Drosophila melanogaster: one gene and its partner. Each later gene encodes a partner of the first gene's protein in a complex. Each region holds a gene or a part of one and is shown on either strand. Other genes may lie near its edges.

What was found.
Region 2: Iml1 (region 1) and Wdr24 share a complex: the UniProt entries of both Drosophila melanogaster proteins name them as parts of the GATOR complex.

Annotation. Positions count from the first base shown.
Region 1 is NT_037436.4:1,530,773-1,535,894, forward strand, and holds the start of Iml1 (increased minichromosome loss 1), read right to left. Parts: upstream 3,263-5,122; 5' UTR 3,137-3,262; coding exon 3,085-3,136; intron 3,030-3,084; coding exon 2,722-3,029; intron 2,662-2,721; coding exon 2,173-2,661; intron 2,116-2,172; coding exon 1,511-2,115; intron 1,451-1,510; coding exon 1,279-1,450; intron 1,217-1,278; coding exon 808-1,216; intron 751-807; coding exon 619-750; intron 488-618; coding exon of another isoform or gene 1-487. Other genes in the region: Ir62a (ionotropic receptor 62a), read right to left, coding at 1-487; CG12091 (uncharacterized protein), read right to left, coding at 4,824-5,122. UniProt on the Drosophila melanogaster protein: An essential component of the GATOR subcomplex GATOR1 which functions as an inhibitor of the amino acid-sensing branch of the TORC1 signaling pathway.
Region 2 is NT_033777.3:29,741,424-29,747,092, forward strand, and holds Wdr24 (WD repeat domain 24), read right to left. Parts: upstream 3,670-5,669; 5' UTR 3,577-3,669; coding exon 3,459-3,576; intron 3,401-3,458; coding exon 2,761-3,400; intron 2,699-2,760; coding exon 2,366-2,698; intron 2,313-2,365; coding exon 2,228-2,312; intron 2,168-2,227; coding exon 2,012-2,167; intron 1,955-2,011; coding exon 1,496-1,954; intron 1,430-1,495; coding exon 1,244-1,429; intron 1,181-1,243; coding exon 824-1,180; 3' UTR 549-823; downstream 1-548. Other genes in the region: Gnpnat (Glucosamine-phosphate N-acetyltransferase), read left to right, coding at 275-316; IntS11 (integrator 11), read left to right, coding at 4,047-4,260, 4,340-5,314, 5,370-5,669. UniProt on the Drosophila melanogaster protein: An essential component of the GATOR subcomplex GATOR2 which functions as an activator of the amino acid-sensing branch of the mTORC1 signaling pathway.

The sequences.
Region 1 (5,122 bases):
TGGCGGCCACCACTACCAAAGCGCTCCGGAACTGCAGTTTCCACAGGAGTTCAAAGAAGTATTTAATGTCCTTTTGCGACTCCTGCTTTCTTAGCAGGAACATAGTCCTCGTGTAACGCCTTCCTCTGGCTCTTTCGGCCTGCAAGTAAATCACCGCATCCTTGGAATCCCTGGCGAAGACCAAATATATGGTCTCCTCATCCTGCAGGCTGCTGAAGTGGACGTGCGAGGAATCCTTGTCCGTGGCCGTCATCTGCGGCAGCATGTAGAAGTGATTGCTGCTGTTGCACATCAGGCCGCGATGCAGATCGTCCAGATAGCTGGGATCAACAGATCCCAGGCTGTTCACTATAGTGATGGCATGCAAGCGATGCACGCGGCCGATCCTGTCCAGAAACAGAGCCAGCTCGAAAGCGCGGTCAAAGTTTTCGGTGGCCACGATTTGGTAGCGCGACAAAAACAGCGCGAACAAAAACTGAAGATACATTTTCGCTCGTGAACCATGCCAAACTGACTGGGATTTCCATGTACGCCGAGTACTTCAAGTGCATCTCGAATTATTTGCCCCACGATACGATCTCTAAAACAAAACCTGAAAACTGTTTGCCTAACACTTACCCGTGGTAATTGCTGGTGTCCACTCTTGCTCCCCAGTGGCTCCCCAGAGGTAAGACTTCGCCTGGGTGGCCGTCAGGTTGGGCACATTGGCGGGCTGGGGGTTCATCGGCGAGTTTTGACGCCGCTTAAAGACTGCGTATACAAAGCAATGCTAGTCGAGGAGGTTTAACTTTAGTTACTGCTACTCACAATCAATGGGCTCATCACCCATCACAAAGCTCTGCGAGGAGTCTGACTTGTTGAGCAGCGAATGGCTGGACACTCGGTCGTACTGCTCTCCATTTTCGCACCCGTAATCCTCCTGGTCGTTGTTGTTGTTGCTCTGCGTCTGCTGCAATGGTCTCTGCTGACCAGCCTGCGTGGGTTTGGCGGGCACCGCTTGATAATGATGCTGCTGTATGAGTACACCGGTTGGGCCCTTCGGGAATATGTGCGTCCAGCGGCGGCGATTGGAGGTCAGCTTTATTGTCACTTGCGAGGGATCAAAGGGATTGATCAGAGCGCGACCCGGACGCACTATGGGCGCAATGCTAACGATCGTCCTGCGGGAGTTCTTCTCCGAGGCCAGTGACTCGGAGAGGTTGGTTGTATCCGGTTGCTAAAGTCACATAAAAACAGTTCAAAAGTCAGGTAAAAAGTCAGTATTAAGATTTCCCTTACCAAGGCAGCCAGCATTGCAGAGGTGCCGTGATGAATATCGGGATCGGACATCTTGCGCCGCATAGCCGGGATTTGAGTCGGCGTGAGGTTCTCCCAATCGTTGTTCCTATAGGCATAGGTCTCTAAACTGGGCACCGATGTCTTCTTAGCCCGCACTACACGCTGCAGGGAGCTAAGAAAATAAAACCTTGATCAACAAAGCTAAAAAGGTAATTTTGTAGCACAATACTACCAAGTACTCTGAGCGGGGAGCGGCTGGAAGATCTGTTCATCATACGCATCGTAATCAAAGAGCGAGTTGTGCTTATACTCCGACTGATTGCAGCTCAGGAAGTGACGCTCGTTCTCCTCGCCCTCCCCGTCGCCAACGCCATCGTGGAGCGTCAACTGGGATCCAAACAGAGGCAGCTTGATCCGTGGTATGAAACTGGAGTACACAATCTTCTTGTTAGTGGAGTAAAAGCTCAAGTTTATCCAGTGGGGCAGAGAGTAGTCATCGGCGGAGGTCAACGTGGTGTCTTTGTTGTGGAATTTGAGAAGCGGAACCGCATGCAGTGGCTGCTCGCCCACACAGACCAGGTCGCTACCCACGCCATTGTCGATAATGCGCTGCTTCGTGATATTGGTTAGCTCTCGATCCACGGAAAAGACACCCACTCCTGGGGTTATAACCACGGATAGTTGTCCGGTGCGGTCGAACGTTCTATCCAAGTAATGCTTTTCGAAAGTGTTCAGCGATATGTTTAGCACCTCCAAAAAGTTACCCTGAGTGGCTGAAGAATTGGTGGCCGGTGGAATCTTCATGTTCTCCCGTTCGTGGTAGCGCAGCACAGTGGCCTGTAAACGGCGTAGTAAGTTTTTATAATAGAATAAATTAAAACATGGTTAAGTGACCTGGTAGGACGTGAATAGCTTTCGGAGCTGGCCCAAAACGGTACACCAATCATCACAGCGCTCATTCTGGATGGCCACGCGGTAAAAGTCCTCGTAGAAGCGACCCTTGTAGTCCTGCTGCAGGCAGTCGCGCATATGCTCGGGAAACTCGTCCAGGCTCTTGGCTGCGTAGAAGGTGCGGGAGAACAGCACGATGGTCACCTCGTGGTTACAGCTCAATTTTCGCCACTTTTGAAAGAGCTCAGTGAGAAACCCATTGACTGCCTTTTCGAAGTACAGGTCTCCGTGGATGTCAAAGTCCCACATCTCGGAGGACATCTGCAGGAAGAGGTACACCATCGAAGTGCTGCTGCGGAAGACAATCTTGGTGTCCTCCGTGATGACACCGCTGGCCACGCGCTCGCCTTGCGACCACATCTCGTACACCTGGCACCGAATCTGCATGTCGTTGTAGTCGATCTTCTTGTTCACATACACACAGGTGTCCGTCTGAGGGAGAAGTGGTACGTTAAAAGTATATCCTGGTCTGAAAACTGCGTGATTCCTTACCAGGTAGGTCTTCAGGCGCCACATTTCCGAGCGACCCATGTACTGGTCCTTGAAGGTAATCTCTATCGAGTCCAGGGCCACATCCGCCGGCTTAACTATGCGCATCACCACATTGGAGTACGGACGCATTTTGAAGGCATTGGCGATGCCCGATTCTATGCTTATCACATCCCGGCCACAGCTGCCATTGAACTCGGTGATTTGGAGCAGCAGGTGGGTGCCGTTCTCCTCGTCGGGGGCGTAAATTTCTACCACATCGCCCACATTGGCGTTGGGATGATCCTTTAGATTCATCACCAAGTCCGCATCTGTGCCGAAATTTCCGTGTAACGTAATGTTTGCGCAATATCCACTTTCGCTTACCGTAGGATTTGTTGCAGCCACGCGTATGCGTGTTCAGCTTGTACAGCTTCATGTTGACTTAGTGGTTGCAAAACCAACGGACAATTATTTACTCAATTCCAACATTTGCCCATTTGCATGCTAGTAAAATAAAAATTCTATTTTTTCGTCTTTTGTTTTGATTCCTTATCTGCAGAGTGACCGCAGGCATGGATTATTTGGTATTTTCCTGTACAAATATACCGAATTTAATGTTTACCTTTAATTGTTATTGTAATTAATTAAATCACGCAGTTTATTTATATTTTTCAAGGTAGCTCAACACTTTTATCTTTTATTGAAAAACTAACTTAATCTGCATTCCCTGTCAGCTTAATTATTTTCATATATATTAAATTAAATAATGATTTCAGTTACGTAAGCTTTTCTGTTATGTATGTTATTGTGTGATTTGTATTATTCGTCACAAAATTTGAATTACCGAACGTTAGGGGCAACCGATGCTTTCGTCACTAGACTCCTACCAATTCAGCGGGGATTTGGTGCGTTGCTATTGACTGAAATTTTTTTGGCATCTATGAAGCCTTTTAATTTACCCACAAGTGTAGCCAAAAGTTAACATATTTTACAAACTGGCGAAAAACTTTACTAATTAAAATAAATGTTTTTTTATATTATCGATTTAACACATATACAGTTGCGTAAAAAATAGCACCACCATAGCGCGTTTTATTCTAGATACAAATAATTAAGGTTGCACCGAAATAACGCAATATTTTCGAATAAAATTTTTAAAAATAGTTCTGGGTATTTTTCCTATTCGAATATAATAATAATCTGTAGAATGCATATATTTTTTGCAGCTTTATGCTTATATATGTAGTCAGTCTGCGTCACAGAAGCGCAATCGATTTCTTTCAGATAAGACCTTTTTAATTAAAAATGTAATTTCACCTATACTTCTGGAGGAAAATGATTGTTACATCGCATTAAAAATAAACACCCCCACGCTAATCAGTTTGTCCGCTCCTGAATCTATCAATTTCCATCTTTCTGACCATGAGTTAATCTAAGCAATTAGAACGTTCTATTTAAGTTTTCCGTACAGCTTTATTGTTTACACATATTTATTTGCTTAATGAATTTATCACGAAGTGACTACAAGCTGCATTCGTTGTTTTTCATTGAATAAATTTTATTGGGTCGCAAATATCAGTGAGTACATTTCGACAAAAATTGTTTAAAGACAGTTCGTTCGCCCGCGTAAATGGGTAATCCTCCGTCCTCAGTCAGATAGCTGCACTCGACTCGCTCCATTCCGGGTCCACCATCCATCCAGCTTCCATCATCCGGACCCCGGACTCGTATTTATGATCCTCGGCGTCGGGGATTGTTTCGCAATCGGTTGTTTGTTTATTGTTTGTGGTGATTAGAACGCCACTGACGACAGAGATCGCCAGATCGGGCAGATAATTCGCATTCTCTACTTATAGCGAGGGTTATGTATACAATCGAGGCGCGGGTCGCTCACCAGGATGCGTCGAAGTCGATTCGTCGGTTCGAAAATGAGTTTGCTCGTATATATGTAACTAACAATGCAAAGGGTCAAAGGGTCGTCGTCCTCGTCAATCACAATCTCAATCTCAACATGCAGCTTAAACGGTAGACAGAACCACGAAACTGGCTCCTAAAGCTAACTAAACACGTACGGACTACAAGTAAACGTTAATCACTAGGGAGGATGGGCTGGAGCACCACTCTCACATCGCCACGGTGGCCAGGACAACGGTGATGTCGTCCGGCTTGCCGCCACGCGCCTGAATGTTATTCCTCCTGGCGCTGAGGGCGAAGGGCGAGAGGAACTCGCTGTTGAGGGACAGGGTGCGCGCCATCAGCGCCAGGCTGTTGGCCGTCATCTGGAGCTTGACGGGATCGCGTTCGCCCTCCACCTCGCTAAGCACCTGCAGCATTAGATCCTCGGGCACGTTGTCGAACACTCCGTCGGTTGCAATGAGAATCACGTCGCCATCCCGCACCGGAAAGCTCATCGTGTCCGCCG
Region 2 (5,669 bases), on another chromosome or scaffold:
AAGCTTTGAGTGGGAGCACCCCATCTCAAAGTTACAAATGCGCGAAGCGCAATGCAACAAAACTAAAATTGGATTCTAAGAAAACATTAAATGCATATAGGCATTGCCAAAATTCCATTGCGCTGAGGGCATGATGGATTTTTGGACAGCGCTGGCTGGCGGTGGTGTCCTTGTGGACGGACGTGCTTGTCCACCCACCCGCGAGGACATACAATTAGATATTTAGTTAAAGACAACCGCAACATATGTTGCTCTCTGTTTTTAATCCCTACAGAACTCTCAATTTTATAATTTTTTCTCCCCTTTCTGCTACTGAATGTGCGGCTCGACCTCTCAACTCCAAGGTGGTTGTAATATTACCTTTTAAGAGCACCTTCATCAAGTAGCCCTAAGATTGAAACACTCGCATAACTGTTAAACTGTTATTAACACTAATCAACAATAGCGATTAAAACCCAATACGAATCTTTCAAAAACCTTTAATGATTGAAGAAATTCAATAAAGTGGACACTTTTTTCAAAAGCCCAGAATGTTTATAAACTTACTTGCATCAACAGACAACAGTTTTATTTTCCAATATTTCAAAAAAAGTTAAGTAACAAACATTTGTGCTATTTAAAGTTGCAGAAGATCGATTAAACCTGTCTGTTAATTTACTTCACAAACGTTGAGCTTATTTTACAAGTTTACATCTTCGAGCTACATTTATATAAAAATCTGTTTAGTGTCTAGTGCAAGGTACTTATTGGGCTTAAGTCTTCTCTATTTACAAGGCTCTCAAATGGGGGGCAAAAGCTGGGCAAACCCAGCCTCCTCCGCGTCTCATGAGTACGCGCAAAGGTGTCCGCACTTGGGGCACTTGGAGTGTTTGGCAAAGTACTTCTGCAGGTGCTCTATGTGACCGCCGTGGGAGCATCCTTGGCACCAGGCGTAGACTCCCCGGACGATCAGACCGCAGACGCAGCACTTGGCGGACTGCATGGACTTGCACTTGTCGCAGTACCATCCCACCTTGCCGCCCATTGGACGTCCACACTCTCCACAGTTCGTGTGCATGGCGGTCGAGTGCTGGTTGAGCTGCTGCACCGATCTCAGCCAGGAGCGGTTGATAACCTCGCAGGCCTCGTTCCACAGCTCATAGCGATGCAGCTGGTCCACGTAGGTGTAAAACCAGTGCTCCTGAAAAGGAAGAAAACCGGATGAATAACTCCGTTCTGATCCCAACTTTGTCTTTGAACTCACCACCAATGCATCGTCAATGGGCAGGAGCTTCCGAGCTTCTCCCAGCGCTATAAGGACTGTCAGAGCTGTTTGCACATCGCCCACATCGTTCATTAGCATGAGGGCATCGGAGACGAACTTATGCGGTTCCCACATGGGTATGGGCGGGACATGGCTGACTTTTAGGACAGTGGGAACATGCGGTGGCTAAAAAGAGGATGAATAAGTTAGTTAAGCTGTAAATACATCGAGTTCTCAATAATCTCAACTAACAGGTGACTTTTCGTGATCGGACGCCTTGAGATCCAGTTGTGGTCGTGCAGCCTGCACATCGTGATGAAGGGCGGGGAAGGCCAAAGCTTTCGGGCATTCTGTGGGACCCACGTAGATAAACCCATTGCGCAAGAGCTCAAAGTTGTCAAAGGTAATCTCGCTGATGATTTGCGTTTCGGACAGAATCACTGAGCTCGTAGGCGGATGCTCCACACCACTGCTGCCGAGCGTATCATCGTCCACATTCGCCACATCAATTTCGTGGGCTGTTTCCGGCGTGTTTCCATTGAGATCCTGGCCTAGTTCAGTTCGCTGCTGTGGCCAATCGCTGGCTACTTGCGTGGCACGTCGTGAGTTCATTGGATTCTTTTGATTCGAGAAGGAGGAGCGGTGCTCGAAGGGAGGCTCAAAGTGATTGCTGCCGTAGAACAATTTGATAAAGTTCCACAATGTGGTGGCCTGAAAAATGTAGATGCTAAGTTTTGGCAAATTTTGGGAATAATCTCAAGCGCTTACATTATGTTTGCCGTATTTCTTGGAAACCTCTGCATTGTGCTCGCATAACTCCGATAGTTTTTTCCCACTGATAACAAGTTCCCTGGCACAGCCAATAAAACTTTCGTGTTCTTGGGTGGGTCTTGAAACAGATTCGCTTAGGGGATAGCCGGAAAACTGAAATATATCAATTAGTATCAGATTTGGCAAAGAAATCCCTAATAGTGTCATACTAACCGTGTCGTTTACCATGAATTTGTACATTTTGGAATGGTCCAAATGGAACTGAATGCTGCCAGCCACATTCGTCTTACGGCGACTTCTAAAATACACATACATATAAACATACAAGTTGATACAACAAATACGACATACATGAAGCTAGAAGACTTGGTATTGGATGCACCGCTGGTCTTGGGTTCATACTCCTTGATCTTGTTGGCAAAGGAGATGTCCCCAAATCTGCCCAGGCTAGCTCCCTGGGCATTTGCCTTCAGCGCTGGCCTCGTGGCATCCTTAAAAGCATGTTTGTAAATGGTGGAGTCCTTGCTGATGGACAGAAGACAGTGCGAGTCGCTGCCCTGCCACGCAATTCCAGTAGTCACATTGGTGTGCTCGTTGAAGGAGGCAAAGGGGATGTAGGGTCTGCGGATGTCCCACACATGAACGCTGTAGTCCACCACAAGGGCACAACTAGCGATGTGATAACTGGAAAGGATTAAACAGATTTAATATAAATAAGACTGTTAAACCTGGCTAGAAAAACCTACGTTCTTTCTGGTCGCCACTTAACCCGTCCCACTACGGCGATTGTGTGAATGGTGTGCTCCAATCCCGGCCTGCCATCCATGTTCCACACCTTGATCTGCTTGTCCCGACTTCCGGTGGCCAGCCAATTCCTTGTGGGATGCCAGTCGCATGTGTAGACTGGCCCGTAGTGCGCCGTAAACTGCACCATGCACTTGTCCCACTTCCGCATGTCCCACAACTGGACAGTTCCATTCTCGGAGACGGCGGAGAATATGTTTTGTGTGTGTGGACTGAACTTGACATCCCGCACTGATTCCGAGTTGCAGAAGTAGGTGTTGATTGACTTATCCGATCGGATGTCGAAACACTTGATGGTGCCATCCTGAGAACCGGAGATCAGGATGTTGGGCTCGCTGCTGTGAAAGGTCACGGTATGAGCGGTGCGCTCATGTTCGTTGTAGACAAGCAGCTGCTTCTGCCTGCCGAACTTGGAGAGATCCCACACGGAAACCACTCCGTTCGTGGCCGCCGTAGCCAAAAGATTGCTATCCAAGGTGGACCAGGCCACATCGTTGGCGGAGTAGCTAAGATTCTGGTTCTTTCCGCGCATATTACACGATTCCGTGAAGCCATTGCTGTTTATGGAGTACACCTTAAGCACTGTTCGGAAGCAAATTATGTGTATTTATAGAAAGACCTTGGGCAATTCTAATCTTACAGCTTCTTCCGGCCAAAGCAATCTGGTTGTTGTCCTTATTCAGGGCCAGGGCGTTCGCGTGTCCTTCCAGGCATATCCGCAGCGAGATTGTGGAGGTGTCCTCCACGGAATCGGGCATCCTGCAGCAGTTGCAAGTTCGCCCGCAGAAAGCAAAACAGTGATTTGATAAGACAAGACGCTATCTTTTATTTTCCTTTCGGTTCAGTATGACCGTTTCTCGAGCGGCAAACCATTGGCGCGAGTGTTCCCAAATGCAGATGTTGAATATTGTTTGAACAAAAGACTTATTGTACTAAAGTTGTATTATTCACATATAATTAATGTATTCTATACATATACAGACAGAAACATTAATTTCAATTAAGCTATTAAATTCTTTGAAACTTCTTGGAACACTCCAATAAGATCTGCCAGTTGGAGCGCGTCGTTGCCGGACCATCCACACCGACGGAGTGGCAACGCCATTCGTGCGGCCTTGCTGTTTACAAAAATCACGGTCGACTTTTTCGACAATTTCATTTACCAGCGCAACAAGTGGCCGCAAGAAAGCAGGAGAGTGGAGCCGGGTGATCCTGATCCCTTCCAGAAATGCCGGACATCAAGATAACGCCCTTGGGCGCCGGCCAGGATGTGGGCCGCAGCTGTCTGCTGCTCTCGATGGGCGGGAAGAACATAATGCTCGACTGCGGGATGCATATGGGCTACAACGACGAGCGCCGCTTCCCGGACTTCTCCTACATAGTGCCGGAGGGTCCGATCACCAGCCACATTGACTGTGTGATCATCTCGCACTTCCACCTGGGTGAGTCTCGGCCTCCCAAAGGCGCTCTTATCTGGTCAACTGGCTCTAATCGTTTCTTTATCGATTGCATGCATTCCAGATCACTGCGGGGCCTTGCCCTACATGTCAGAGATTGTGGGCTACACGGGGCCCATCTACATGACGCATCCGACCAAGGCCATAGCACCCATCCTCCTGGAGGACATGCGGAAGGTGGCCGTAGAGCGGAAAGGCGAGTCGAACTTCTTTACCACCCAGATGATCAAGGACTGCATGAAGAAGGTGATTCCCGTCACACTTCACCAGAGTATGATGGTGGACACGGACCTTGAGATCAAAGCCTACTATGCAGGCCATGTCCTGGGCGCCGCCATGTTCTGGATCAAGGTGGGCTCCCAGAGCGTTGTCTACACGGGGGACTACAACATGACTCCAGACAGGCATCTGGGAGCCGCCTGGATAGACAAGTGCCGGCCGGACTTGCTGATCTCCGAGAGCACCTACGCCACTACCATTAGGGACTCGAAGCGGTGTCGCGAGAGGGACTTCCTCAAGAAAGTTCACGAGTGCGTGGCTAAGGGCGGCAAGGTTTTAATCCCTGTTTTTGCCCTGGGTCGCGCCCAGGAGCTGTGCATCCTGCTGGAGACGTACTGGGAGCGCATGAACCTCAAGTACCCCATATACTTTGCTCTGGGTCTTACCGAGAAGGCCAATACCTACTACAAAATGTTCATCACCTGGACGAACCAGAAGATCCGCAAGACCTTCGTTCACCGCAACATGTTCGACTTCAAGCACATCAAGCCCTTTGACAAGGCCTACATCGACAATCCTGGCGCGATGGTAGTGTTCGCCACGCCAGGCATGCTGCACGCAGGTCTTTCCCTGCAGATCTTCAAGAAGTGGGCGCCGAATGAGAACAACATGGTGATTATGCCCGGCTACTGTGTGCAGGGAACCGTGGGCAACAAGATTCTCGGTGGCGCCAAGAAGGTGGAGTTCGAGAACCGCCAGGTGGTCGAGGTCAAAATGGCCGTGGAGTACATGAGCTTCTCGGCCCATGCAGATGCCAAAGGTGGCTACAAGCTTAGCACTTTTATGCTGATACTAATTAATTTTCTGTATTGCAGGCATTATGCAGCTAATTCAGAACTGTGAGCCAAAGAACGTCATGCTCGTCCATGGTGAAGCAGGGAAGATGAAGTTCCTGCGCTCGAAGATCAAAGACGAATTCAACCTGGAAACCTACATGCCGGCCAACGGCGAAACCTGTGTGATTTCTACGCCTGTGAAGATACCAGTAGATGCGTCCGTTTCCCTGCTTAAAGCAGAGGCCCGGTCCTACAACGCCCAGCCACCGGATCCCAAGAGGCGGCGACTAATCCATGGCGTCCTCGTAATGAAGGACAATCGAATAATGCTGCAAAACC